Linked DNA regions of Saccharomyces cerevisiae S288C. The protein of the gene in region 1 interacts with the protein of each later gene in a biochemical or structural test. Each region holds a gene or a part of one and is shown in the gene's direction. Other genes may lie near its edges.

Evidence for each region.
Region 2: the proteins of ATG16 (region 1) and ATG7 form a complex in vitro, tested with the Saccharomyces cerevisiae proteins (one study listed by BioGRID).

The regions. Positions count from the first base shown.
Region 1 is NC_001145.3:573,771-584,021, reverse strand, and holds ATG16 (Atg16p), read left to right. Parts: upstream 1-9,093; coding exon 9,094-9,546; downstream 9,547-10,251. Other genes in the region: aminophospholipid-translocating P4-type ATPase DNF3, read left to right, coding at 101-5,071; type I HSP40 co-chaperone HLJ1, read right to left, coding at 5,630-6,304; CVM1 (Cvm1p), read right to left, coding at 6,506-8,956. UniProt on the Saccharomyces cerevisiae protein: Stabilizes the ATG5-ATG12 conjugate and mediates the formation of the 350 kDa complex, which is necessary for autophagy.
Region 2 is NC_001140.6:443,787-448,105, forward strand, and holds ATG7 (Atg7p), read left to right. Parts: upstream 1-1,926; coding exon 1,927-3,819; downstream 3,820-4,319. Other genes in the region: ribosome-binding protein NMD3, read left to right, coding at 42-1,598. UniProt on the Saccharomyces cerevisiae protein: E1-like activating enzyme involved in the 2 ubiquitin-like systems required for cytoplasm to vacuole transport (Cvt) and autophagy. Activates ATG12 for its conjugation with ATG5 and ATG8 for its conjugation with phosphatidylethanolamine.

The DNA.
Region 1 (10,251 bases):
ACCTTTATCGTTATATACACATAGCTTCCATACAGCAAATAAACATCCTAATTGAAGTAGATAATTTAATTCCATTCTTTATTAAAAAGAAAAAAATATTATGGGCATAGCTGATGGGCAAAGAAGAAGATCTTCATCACTACGAACGCAGATGTTCAACAAGCATTTGTATGATAAATATCGCGGAAGAACTGATGATGAGATAGAGTTAGAAGATATAAATGAGAGTAAGACGTTCTCCGGTAGCGATAATAACGATAAAGATGACAGAGATGAAACAAGCGGCAATTATGCTGCTGAAGAGGATTATGAAATGGAAGAGTATGGTAGTCCTGATGTGTCATATAGCATTATCACTAAAATACTTGATACTATCCTAGATCGAAGGAGGACGTTCCATTCGAAAGACGGTAGACATATTCCGATTATATTAGATCATAATGCAATTGAATACAAACAAGCTGCTACTAAAAGGGATGGTCATTTGATAGACGAAAGGTTCAACAAGCCTTACTGCGACAACCGAATAACTTCATCAAGATATACATTCTATTCCTTTTTGCCTAGACAGTTGTATGCACAATTTTCAAAGTTAGCCAATACTTATTTTTTCATTGTCGCAGTATTACAAATGATACCTGGATGGTCTACAACTGGTACTTATACAACTATTATCCCCTTATGTGTATTTATGGGTATATCCATGACAAGAGAGGCTTGGGACGATTTCAGGAGACATCGTTTAGATAAGGAAGAGAACAATAAACCAGTGGGAGTGTTGGTTAAAGATGGAAATAATGACGCACAAGAAGTTTATACACTACCAAGTAGTGTTGTCTCATCCACTGCATATCTAACTAAATCGGCCGCTGCTGAAAATAATCCACCTTTAAACGATGATCGGAACTCCTCTCAAGGACACTTCTTAGACACGCACTTCAATAACTTTGAACTACTCAAGAATAAATACAATGTTCATATTCATCAAAAGAAGTGGGAAAAACTTCGTGTTGGAGACTTCGTACTTCTCACACAAGATGATTGGGTACCTGCAGATCTGCTTTTATTGACATGTGACGGCGAAAATAGCGAATGTTTCGTTGAAACGATGGCTTTAGATGGCGAAACAAATTTGAAAAGTAAACAACCCCATCCAGAATTAAATAAGTTAACCAAAGCCGCATCAGGTCTTGCAAATATTAATGCTCAAGTTACCGTGGAAGATCCCAATATTGATTTATATAATTTTGAAGGTAATCTTGAATTGAAAAACCATCGCAATGATACCATAATGAAATACCCTCTAGGTCCTGATAATGTCATTTATCGTGGTAGTATTTTGAGGAATACTCAAAATGTTGTTGGTATGGTCATTTTCAGTGGTGAGGAAACAAAAATCAGAATGAATGCTTTAAAAAACCCAAGAACGAAAGCCCCTAAGCTACAAAGGAAGATAAATATGATTATCGTGTTTATGGTGTTTGTCGTTGCCACAATATCTTTATTTTCTTATCTTGGCCATGTTTTGCATAAGAAAAAATATATCGACCAGAACAAAGCATGGTATCTATTTCAGGCAGATGCTGGCGTAGCACCCACAATAATGTCTTTTATCATCATGTATAACACTGTGATTCCTTTGTCCCTATATGTAACAATGGAAATTATCAAGGTAGTCCAAAGTAAAATGATGGAATGGGACATAGACATGTACCATGCAGAAACGAACACGCCATGCGAATCGAGAACTGCCACCATTCTGGAGGAATTGGGGCAAGTATCTTATATTTTTAGTGATAAAACCGGAACGCTGACGGATAATAAGATGATATTTCGGAAATTTTCTTTATGTGGATCATCTTGGCTGCATAATGTAGATCTCGGTAATTCTGAGGATAACTTTGAAGACAACAGAGACAATACGAACTCCTTGAGACTACCACCAAAAGCTCACAACGGCTCTAGTATAGACGTTGTTTCCATTGGAGATCAAAATGTTCTTGATCGGTTAGGATTTTCGGACGCACCAATTGAAAAAGGGCATCGTCCATCTTTGGACAACTTTCCTAAATCTAGGAATTCTATTGAATATAAGGGAAATTCATCAGCAATTTATACAGGCCGTCCCAGTATGAGATCACTTTTTGGGAAAGATAATTCACATCTAAGTAAACAAGCTTCGGTTATTTCACCCTCCGAGACATTTTCGGAGAACATTAAAAGTTCGTTTGATTTAATTCAGTTTATTCAAAGATATCCGACCGCCCTGTTTTCTCAAAAGGCTAAATTTTTCTTCTTATCATTAGCTCTTTGTCATAGCTGTCTTCCCAAAAAAACTCATAACGAATCAATAGGAGAAGACTCCATAGAGTATCAGTCTTCATCTCCAGATGAATTAGCACTAGTAACCGCTGCTAGAGACCTTGGTTATATTGTATTGAATAGAAATGCACAGATTTTGACCATTAAAACTTTTCCAGACGGTTTTGACGGTGAAGCAAAATTGGAAAATTATGAAATTTTGAACTATATTGACTTCAATTCTCAAAGAAAGAGAATGTCTGTTCTTGTACGTATGCCAAATCAACCAAATCAAGTTCTTTTAATTTGCAAAGGTGCTGATAACGTTATTATGGAGCGTTTACATGATCGCGAATTGGCTGCCAAAAAAATGGCAGACATATGCACCAGTACCAAAGAACGTAAAGACGCAGAAGCAGAGCTGGTTCTCCAGCAAAGAAAGTCTCTGGAAAGAATGGTAGATGAAGAGGCTATGGCCAGGACCTCATTGAGAAATTCTTTGTCTAGCGTACCGAGAGCAAGTTTATCATTGCAGGCAGTGAGAAAAAGTCTTTCAATGAAGAACAGCAGGACCCGTGATCCAGAGAAACAAATTGACTCCATTGATCAATTTCTAGAAACGGTCAAGAAATCTGATCAGGAGATTGGCAGCGTTGTAAATAAAAGCAGGAAGTCACTCCATAAGCAACAAATAGAAAAATATGGGCCGCGAATTTCGATAGATGGAACACATTTTCCGAACAACAATGTCCCAATAGACACAAGAAAAGAAGGACTACAGCATGATTACGATACAGAAATTTTGGAGCACATTGGAAGCGATGAGTTAATTTTGAATGAAGAGTATGTTATTGAAAGAACTTTGCAAGCCATCGATGAGTTTTCGACTGAAGGCTTAAGAACTCTGGTCTATGCTTACAAATGGATCGATATTGGGCAGTATGAAAATTGGAATAAACGCTATCACCAAGCCAAAACCTCCCTTACTGATAGAAAAATCAAAGTCGATGAGGCAGGTGCAGAAATCGAGGATGGTTTAAATCTGTTAGGGGTAACTGCAATCGAAGACAAGTTACAAGACGGCGTTTCAGAAGCTATAGAAAAGATCAGAAGAGCCGGTATAAAAATGTGGATGCTAACAGGGGATAAAAGGGAAACGGCTATAAATATAGGGTATTCGTGTATGTTAATCAAAGATTATTCTACGGTAGTCATTTTAACTACTACTGATGAAAATATTATATCAAAGATGAATGCGGTTTCTCAAGAAGTTGATTCCGGAAACATAGCACACTGCGTTGTTGTAATTGACGGTGCCACGATGGCCATGTTTGAAGGAAATCCTACATACATGTCTGTATTTGTTGAGCTTTGCACTAAAACAGACTCGGTAATATGTTGCCGTGCTTCACCTTCTCAAAAAGCCCTTATGGTTTCCAACATAAGAAATACCGATCCAAACTTAGTCACGTTGGCAATAGGTGATGGTGCGAATGATATTGCCATGATACAATCTGCCGATATAGGTGTTGGAATAGCCGGTAAGGAGGGATTGCAAGCATCTAGAGTATCTGATTATTCTATTGGCCAATTTCGGTTTCTCTTGAAATTGTTATTTGTTCATGGGCGTTATAACTATATTCGCACCTCCAAGTTTATGCTTTGCACGTTTTACAAAGAAATTACGTTTTACTTTACGCAGTTGATATATCAAAGATATACAATGTTTTCAGGCTCCTCTCTATATGAGCCATGGTCATTGTCCATGTTCAATACTCTATTCACATCACTACCGGTTCTATGTATTGGTATGTTTGAGAAAGACTTGAAACCAATGACTCTACTAACAGTCCCTGAATTATATTCGTACGGGCGCCTTTCACAAGGTTTTAATTGGTTAATATTCATGGAGTGGGTTATCTTGGCAACTACGAATTCTCTTATCATTACATTTTTAAATGTTGTAATGTGGGGTATGAGTTCTCTTTCAGATAACACTATGTATCCTCTAGGTCTCATCAATTTCACAGCCATTGTTGCCTTAATTAACGTTAAATCCCAATTTGTTGAAATGCACAATAGGAATTGGCTGGCTTTTACTTCTGTAGTTCTATCCTGTGGAGGTTGGTTAGTGTGGTGTTGTGCCCTTCCTATTTTGAATAATACTGACCAAATATATGATGTAGCATATGGCTTTTACAATCATTTTGGTAAAGACATTACATTCTGGTGTACTAGCTTGGTGTTGGCACTGTTACCTATCACTTTAGATATAGTTTACAAAACATTCAAAGTTATGATATGGCCATCAGATTCTGATATTTTTGCTGAGCTGGAACAAAAAAGTGATATCAGAAAGAAGCTGGAACTAGGAGCCTATAGCGAAATGAGGCAAGGATGGACGTGGGATAAAGATCCCAGTACTTTCACAAGGTACACAGACAAAGTTCTTTCAAGGCCAAGAACTAATTCACGTGCAAGTGCAAAAACTCATAACAGCAGCATATATTCAATGTCAAATGGGAATGTAGACCATTCCTCAAAAAAAAATTTCTTTGGAAACTCTTCTAAAAAGAGCTCTGAACGATACGAGGTATTACCTAGTGGCAAGTTAATCAAGCGACCATCCTTGAAAACACAAAGCAGTAAAGACAGTATTGGCGGCAATATAACTACTAAACTGACGAAGAAACTGAAGCTTCCATCGAGGAATGTGGAAGATGAAGATGTGAACCAGATTATTCAGGCAAGGCTAAAGGATCTGGAGTAATTCTCGTGATCTTGTTTAATTACATTATTGAGAACATTTTTATATATATACCTTTTATTGGAAATTAGTAGCGAGCTTAGAAGACTTACTTGATTTGTTGAGTCGAATATTATTTCGGCATCCACACATTAGAAAATTAACAAGATGTATTTTGAGAGAAAGCAAGGCACAACGCATGGGAAATCTTCACAAATTTTAAATACTATCTATAAACTAACTCTAATTATAAAAGTGGCTTGATTACTTTCGGTGTCAAAAGAAAAAGTAAATGTATGGCGTAAATGCTATGATTAGTTATCAGAAAATAAAGATGTTTATAAGTATTATACTGTCTGATTTAATTTCCTCGATATATTAAAATTCTAATACCATTATGTCCTTCTGGTAAACTGTGGAACAAAATAAAACATAGCCAGGAAGCCTGAAGGAATGACCTAAATGTCATCTAGTATACAAATGCGTTTTTTCAATTTTGCTTGCTCCTTGTAGTTTTATTTTATAGTACAACTTTGACTAACGTTGGAAAATAATAAAAAAATGACAGTAAAAATATTGTGTTTAACTAAACAGGTAATCTTTAATCATAGGAAGAACAATAAAGATGATGAAAAGAACGAGCATATTTTTTAATTGCGAATTCACTGCATTTTCTTCTGCTTGTTGTTGCTGCTGTCTTGAGCGGGGTTGTTGACGCATGAACGGTGAGCCACCACGATTATTAGTATAAACTCTGAAACCACCGGGGCCTCCAAATGAAAAAGTGGAAGCAGAAGGCCCAAATGGTGAAGCGCCGAATGGGCTGCCGCCTGCGTTGAACAAAAAGTCGAATATGTCCTCTGGTGGTCCAGCTCTTTGACCACCGAAACGTGAATTGAAAAACATGTCTTCAAATCCGCCACCCATTGGAGACCCACCTGCACTTCCTCGGAACCCTGAAGCAGCACCTCTGGATGGCATTTGTCTATCGTCAGGATCCCTACCTATCCTGTCATAAATACTGCGCTTTTCCTCATTGCTTAGTACTTCAAATGCCCTATTAATTACTTTGAAAGCTTCTCCCGCTTTTGGATGAGAGTTTTTATCAGGATGCAATTTGATTGCTAGTTTTCTGTATGCCTTCTTGATCTCACTATCTGTGGCTTTCCTATCTACCTTCAAAATTTCGTAAAACTCATGCTTGTCTTTTGACAGTATTTCTAGCGCGATTTTTTCTTGATCCTCAGTGAAAGACATGTTCTTCCTATTATAGACCTTCCACAAGTTATATTGCAGAAACAGCGTTGCTGCTATTATGGCTTCTGGAAGTAGAGGTGTATGAAAAGAACTTCTGCCAGCTTCCTTTATGTTCTTCACGAATACTTTCCAGCCTACTCTGCGGGTTACCCACTATACAAATACCATAATATGTTACGCGGTCCGCTATATACGAATCTACTATGTACGTCGAACATCATTAATCAAGTTTTTGGGGTTGTCATACATGGCTAAAACGCTCAGGATATCACGTAGGTGTTTCAAACCCCTTGTTGGTGGAGACCAATCCTGGTAAGTTCGCCAAATCTCTGTTAATCTTCTCAAAGCTTCCACGGTGTCCCTCTGAAAAACAGGGCCAGAAGTACTCGTGGTACTATCCAAGAAGCAGTTTAATGAGATGGAGAGCCTCAACGCATGTGGTATCTCTCGCTGCGGTAAATTTTTCAATTGAATCAATTTGGAGAAGGAATCATGAATTTTCCATACCAAATCATATTGATTGACAGTATTCAATATGCTTGTAGGAGTGTCGAGGTCGATGTTTAAACGTAAATGCTTACGACTTAATGGGTTTTTCGTGAATATTGTATTGTACAGAAAGCATTTATAGACTTTATCGTCATCATAAATGTCTGAATATATCCTTACGAAATCCGAAGATTTTTCGTTTTGATACTGCACAAACTGCAAAAAATCCTTTACCGTAGAAATATTCTCTGGCAATAATGATTCCGATGATGAACCGAGACTTTCACCCTCCCTTTGGTCGTAATTGAGTTGATGACCATTCATTTTCCACTTACTGTCCATTTCTTGAAGCCAGATTTTGTTGCTGTTCTGGTACTGTTTCCTAATATTTGGAGGCAATGTGTAATCATTAAATGACCTTGAAATAAAAAAAGGACTTAGTAAATTAATTATGGGAATAAATTGTTTATATCCTAAATTCTCCGTTATCATCAAAATATCCCATAAGGTTATTTCGAAAAGTCTGTTGGTGGGAATCTTCAATCTCGATTCAAAATTAGGGGTCCTTACATGGACGTCATTAATGTTACTAGTTGCTTCATCATCGGTATCAAGGTTTAAATTATTAGCATTCTTTAAATCAATGCCCATGTACTTCCCATTGCACCATAAATTTCTCAAGATTTTAGGGTGATTATAATCTATAGCAAGTTTTTCTGAAATTGTCATAAAATTATCATAAAGCTTACCAAAAAATGTCAGTCGAAACGTATCCCAATTGAACAAGAGCCAATCCAATGCATCCTGAACTAGTTTAGATTCACTAGAATCTATCCGCCTATAATTTTTGATTTTAGATAATGTGTCTTGTTGCTTTTTGTCAATGCCCTGAAATAACTGTTTTTCTTTGATTTGTTGGCTCTTCGTTGTGAAATCATTATTTGAATCATGATCATTACTATCATTTTCGTTAGTACTGGAATTGGAACCCAAGTTATTATAACTATTGCTAGTAAAGTCAGTGCTGTGGTCCCAAAATCGATAGCCTTGTAAACATGACTGGAAACTCAATACACTCACTGTAGTGTTTTCATCAAACTCTAGAACTTCATTATTTTGCACGATATATTTCGCTAATAGCAAAGTTAAGGGAACGCTGTGATAAACGCCCACAAAAAAAATTGAATCTACCTCTTTGAAAAGATGAGCCCAGTGGTTCAGTAACTCTACACATTCTTTATATGTAGGTATTAAATCTTGATTATGCAGTGGGCACTGGAACGATAGGGTCAAGACTCTTTGAGGTTGTTCTTGCGCTAGATTTTGTGACAATTTTCTAGAAAGATAATAAGCCGATCTTTGTGATTCTAATGAGCGCTGCTCATACTTTTCTGGTAAATCCCCCACGACGGATATTATAATAATTCTCTTATCCTTCAGTAATGCGGTTTTTTTTTGTCTTAAATAGAGATGTTGCTCATTAGGGAAGTTATAGTAATTTTTGATAGTATTCAATACCTTAGTTCTTAGTGGTTGGACGTGCAGAAAATTCAAAGGGTTATCTGATGGTAGGATTAAAGAATCATTAATAAATACATTATACCCAGGGTTACCTCCCTCCCCAGGATATTTGTTTAATGGCAATGGGCATTTGGCTGATCCTGTACCAGAGACACTGATTATTCCTGGGGTATCTATGGAATCAATTATGTTTGATGAATTTGATATATGTGGAATTGCTTCGTACCAACACCATGATTTCGACTTTTTTGAAATTATATCCTTAGCCTCATTTTCCAAGAAGTTGATTTGTTCAGTGTTTAGTTGAGAGTAGCGGGTATTATCATCAACAACAATTGGGGCACTTCTATATCTGGATGTTGCAAAAGAAGCGATTTTAGACCATATCCCTTTATTGTCATTATTCGAGTTCACGCTATCTTGAAAATCCGTTGTCGGACTACTCCTTCCTTGTCCATTAGGATATTCTGCAATTCTTCCCGTGTTTGGCTCATCGTCGGCAGTGGAATTCCACCAGGGTTTCCATCTGTTTTGTTGTCGTGGACGTTGGGGTGGGACTTCCTGCTGGTCCTCTCGTATCTGCTGCTGCTCTTGTGTTTGATGCTGCAACTGTTTATCCTGTTTCTGCTGCACAACATCCATTATAATAGCGTTTTATATGTTGTGCTAAATTGCTACTACACTTGCTCGCTTTTACTTATTCTGTTTGTAGTTGACCTTTATTTAACGTTGATTTTTGTTATTAACCTGCGCGAATCTGTATTAAGGGCGCATATTCCATGGGCAATTTCATTATAACAGAAAGGAAGAAAGCAAAGGAGGAAAGAAGCAATCCACAAACAGATAGCATGGATGATTTGTTAATTCGTAGACTAACAGATCGAAACGACAAGGAGGCCCATTTAAATGAGTTGTTTCAAGATAATAGTGGCGCCATTGGTGGCAACATTGTCAGCCATGACGATGCTTTATTGAATACACTGGCAATTCTACAAAAAGAACTGAAAAGTAAGGAGCAAGAAATACGAAGATTGAAAGAAGTTATTGCGTTGAAAAATAAGAATACGGAAAGGTTGAATGACGAATTGATTAGTGGAACCATTGAAAATAATGTTTTACAACAAAAACTCTCGGATCTGAAAAAAGAACATTCCCAGCTAGTTGCGAGATGGCTAAAAAAGACAGAGAAAGAGACAGAAGCCATGAACAGCGAAATAGATGGAACGAAATGATGCATCAGTTGTCAAATCGTCACAAAATGCATACAAAAGAAAATAAAATCATTGTGGTGCATATACATGGACAGAATATGAAACGCCAAAGTGTTTGCAATAAAGAGGTGAAAATATGTTAAACATGCTATAGAGAGTACACCTGCAAGTTAAGAAAATGCCATTCGTGTTTTTATCTACTATAATGTAATGTGACAGCTGTTTTAAACCTTTCTTAAGGTCGTTTGTGCGAGAACAGGCTTTTTTTTTGGAGAATGTATCTTGAGAGAAACTCAATAGTAATAACTGGATGCATAAAGAAAATTTCATATGAATCACTACAAATCTTTGGCGTTAGAATTCTATTGGGTAAATTGAACTTTGTAGCTTTTTGATGGTAAACTTGGCGGTTTTGCGCGACCCATGATCCTAAGAAACCCGCAGTTTCTATTAGGATTCACGATGGTCTTTATCTCACCTTCTATTATGTGTAAGTTGAAATGCCCCTTGCTGTTCTTATAGCAGAAAGCTTTTTTTTTCATTTATAGGACTAGCATTTTGGCATTGGAAGGGAAAAAATCATGCTTTCATTGAAAAATGAAAAGAAACATATCGTTATTTTGTGGGAACACTGAAGTATAATTTTTTGTTTCGGAAATTTACCATTGCATAGTGGGTATTTTCATCGAAAGTTGGCTAAAGAATGCATGCGGCCTGTTCATTCTG
Region 2 (4,319 bases), on another chromosome or scaffold:
CATTTTATTGTCTAATAAACGTTGAGGAATTTGACAAAAGGATGGAATTCACACCTATAGATCCGCACCAGCACCAAAATGCTGCTACTCTTCTATGTTGTAACTGTGGTACCCCAATCGATGGGTCCACTGGGCTGGTTATGTGTTATGACTGTATCAAACTGACTGTGGACATTACTCAAGGTATTCCAAGAGAAGCGAACATTTCATTTTGCAGAAACTGTGAAAGATTTTTGCAACCACCTGGACAATGGATCAGAGCAGAATTAGAATCTAGAGAATTACTGGCCATTTGTTTGCGTCGTTTGAAGGGCCTAACAAAAGTCAGATTAGTGGATGCTTCATTCATTTGGACAGAACCCCATTCTAGACGTATTAGAATTAAACTTACCGTGCAGGGAGAAGCCATGACAAATACTATTATTCAGCAAACTTTCGAAGTAGAATACATTGTTATTGCGATGCAATGTCCAGACTGTGCCAGATCCTACACTACAAATACTTGGAGGGCTACTGTCCAAATTAGACAAAAAGTGCCTCACAAGAGAACATTTTTGTTTTTGGAACAACTGATTTTGAAACATAATGCTCATGTGGATACCATTTCCATTAGTGAAGCTAAGGACGGGTTGGATTTCTTCTATGCGCAAAAAAACCACGCAGTTAAGATGATTGATTTTTTGAACGCTGTTGTTCCGATTAAACATAAAAAGTCTGAAGAACTTATTTCTCAAGATACACATACTGGTGCATCTACTTATAAATTTTCATATTCTGTCGAGATTGTTCCTATCTGTAAAGATGACTTGGTCGTTTTACCAAAAAAACTGGCTAAATCTATGGGTAACATTTCTCAATTTGTTCTATGTTCTAAGATTTCTAACACTGTCCAGTTTATGGATCCGACTACTTTGCAAACCGCGGATCTGTCACCATCTGTGTACTGGAGGGCTCCATTCAACGCCCTGGCTGATGTGACCCAGTTGGTGGAGTTCATTGTTCTGGACGTGGATTCTACAGGTATAAGCAGGGGAAATCGTGTCTTAGCTGACATTACTGTTGCTAGAACGTCTGACTTGGGTGTTAATGACCAAGTCTACTACGTCAGGTCTCATCTCGGTGGTATTTGCCATGCAGGTGATAGTGTTATGGGTTATTTCATTGCAAACTCGAATTACAACTCAGATCTTTTTGATGGGTTAAATATCGATTATGTGCCTGATGTAGTTCTTGTGAAGAAATTGTATCAAAGAAAGAGCAAAAAGAGCAGACACTGGAAGTTAAAGAGAATGGCTAAGGAACACAAAGATATCGATGCATCCTTAGATTACAATTCAAGAGCTCAAAAGCAAGAAATGGAACGTGCAGAAAAGGACTACGAATTATTCTTACAAGAATTAGAAGAGGATGCTGAATTAAGACAAAGTGTTAACCTATACAAAAACCGCGAAGCAAATGTACCTCCTGAAGAGCATGAAATGGATGAAGACGAGGATGAAGACGCTCCACAAATCAACATTGATGAATTATTGGACGAGTTAGATGAAATGACATTAGAAGATGGAGTCGAGAACACACCCGTTGAATCTCAGCAGTAAAAAAACACCAAAGAATGGAGAGTAGTATATACTCTTAACAAACACTAGCATTTCAGTTTATCTATATACATATATATGGATGTAAAATGTACTTTATGGAAGAACAAGCCACCACATGTTGAAAACTAGATAGGCAAGCAAGATTTTTCATTTGTAGAGCTCTTACGCAAGATTTTTAAACTTCCGCTTTTTTAATCCATGAGATTCCTTTGGACACCCTTTCCGGCACGGCAAAACAAAAAAATTAAGGGAACTCATTATTTTACGATGCTACTTAGATAACTAAAGTTCATTATATTTCAACAAATATAAGATAATCAAGAATAAAATGTCGTCAGAAAGGGTCTTAAGTTATGCACCAGCTTTTAAATCATTTCTGGATACATCTTTTTTCCAAGAATTATCGAGATTGAAACTCGATGTTCTGAAATTAGATTCAACATGCCAACCACTTACTGTGAATCTAGATTTACACAACATTCCTAAATCTGCTGATCAAGTTCCATTATTCTTAACAAATAGAAGCTTTGAAAAACACAATAATAAGCGTACTAATGAAGTGCCTTTACAGGGCAGTATTTTCAATTTTAATGTATTAGACGAGTTTAAGAATCTTGATAAGCAACTATTTTTACATCAAAGAGCATTGGAATGCTGGGAAGATGGAATAAAGGATATCAATAAGTGTGTTTCTTTTGTGATTATTAGTTTTGCTGACCTAAAAAAGTACAGGTTTTATTACTGGTTAGGTGTTCCCTGTTTTCAAAGACCCTCTTCAACAGTTTTACATGTGCGGCCAGAGCCGAGTTTAAAAGGGCTGTTCTCAAAGTGTCAAAAATGGTTTGATGTCAATTACTCAAAATGGGTGTGTATACTGGATGCAGACGATGAAATAGTAAATTATGACAAGTGTATTATTCGAAAAACTAAAGTTTTGGCGATAAGGGACACTAGTACGATGGAAAACGTCCCTTCTGCTCTAACCAAAAATTTTCTCAGCGTGTTGCAATACGATGTTCCTGACTTGATAGATTTCAAACTATTAATTATTAGACAGAACGAAGGTAGCTTTGCATTAAATGCTACATTTGCTTCTATTGACCCACAATCATCCTCAAGTAACCCAGATATGAAAGTTTCTGGATGGGAAAGGAATGTGCAAGGTAAGCTAGCACCACGTGTTGTTGATTTAAGTTCATTGTTAGATCCTTTAAAAATTGCTGACCAATCCGTGGATTTAAATTTGAAGCTAATGAAATGGAGAATTCTTCCTGACTTAAATCTAGATATCATCAAAAACACAAAAGTACTACTACTAGGTGCTGGTACACTAGGTTGTTATGTTTCACGCGCATTGATAGCATGGGGGGTTAGAAAAATAACATTTGTGGATAACGGTACAGTTTCATATTCAAATCCAGTGAGGCAAGCGTTATATAATTTTGAGGACTGTGGAAAGCCAAAGGCAGAACTTGCGGCTGCGTCTTTGAAAAGAATATTTCCTTTAATGGACGCTACTGGTGTGAAATTAAGTATTCCTATGATCGGTCATAAATTAGTAAACGAGGAGGCTCAGCATAAGGATTTTGATAGATTAAGAGCATTAATAAAAGAGCATGATATCATTTTTTTATTGGTGGATTCTCGAGAAAGCAGATGGCTTCCGTCGTTATTGAGCAACATCGAAAACAAAACCGTTATTAATGCTGCTCTGGGGTTTGATAGCTACTTAGTTATGAGGCATGGTAATAGAGATGAACAGTCTTCAAAACAACTGGGCTGTTATTTTTGCCATGATGTGGTAGCACCAACTGACAGTTTAACTGACAGGACTTTGGATCAAATGTGCACAGTAACTAGACCCGGCGTTGCTATGATGGCCTCTTCTTTAGCAGTTGAATTGATGACTTCCTTACTACAGACCAAATACTCTGGTTCAGAAACAACAGTATTAGGGGATATACCTCATCAAATACGTGGGTTTTTGCATAATTTTTCCATCTTAAAATTAGAAACTCCAGCCTATGAGCATTGTCCAGCATGTAGCCCTAAAGTTATCGAAGCATTTACAGACTTAGGTTGGGAATTTGTTAAAAAGGCCTTGGAGCATCCACTTTACCTTGAAGAAATTAGCGGTTTGTCAGTCATAAAGCAGGAGGTCGAACGACTAGGCAACGATGTTTTTGAATGGGAAGATGATGAATCTGATGAGATTGCTTAATATTTTGCATATAATAGCATTGGTACATATTGTGGTGCCACTTTCCGTAATTAAGCTACTAAATTTTTGACTCTAACGTTTATAACATTGAATTATTAAAATGATCTTGCTATACTATTTTGCATACATTATTTTTTGTAGTTTTAACAAGAAGACAAATTCTTGACTTTACTCACAAAACATAAACATAAAATGTAATAAAGTCCTCAATGTTCACCGTATTTTTCAAAAAGGATCAGTGAAAGTGTCGGTAAAGCTACCTTTTTGATACTTTCTTTTTATGAGAATAAGTTGTATTTCTTTATTATGTATGATACGGGCGTTCAATCAATACGTTTTAAGTTCGTTGCTGACGGCTAAGAAATTGGTAAGAGGAGTAGTTCCATCAATGTCTAAAGTGATATGATAAAAACTATACGATTTGAAGATCTATGCGTTCACTTCACGTATCCAAGTTTCCCCTCCTAATAATTCACATTAATTTGGCATTCATATCTAAA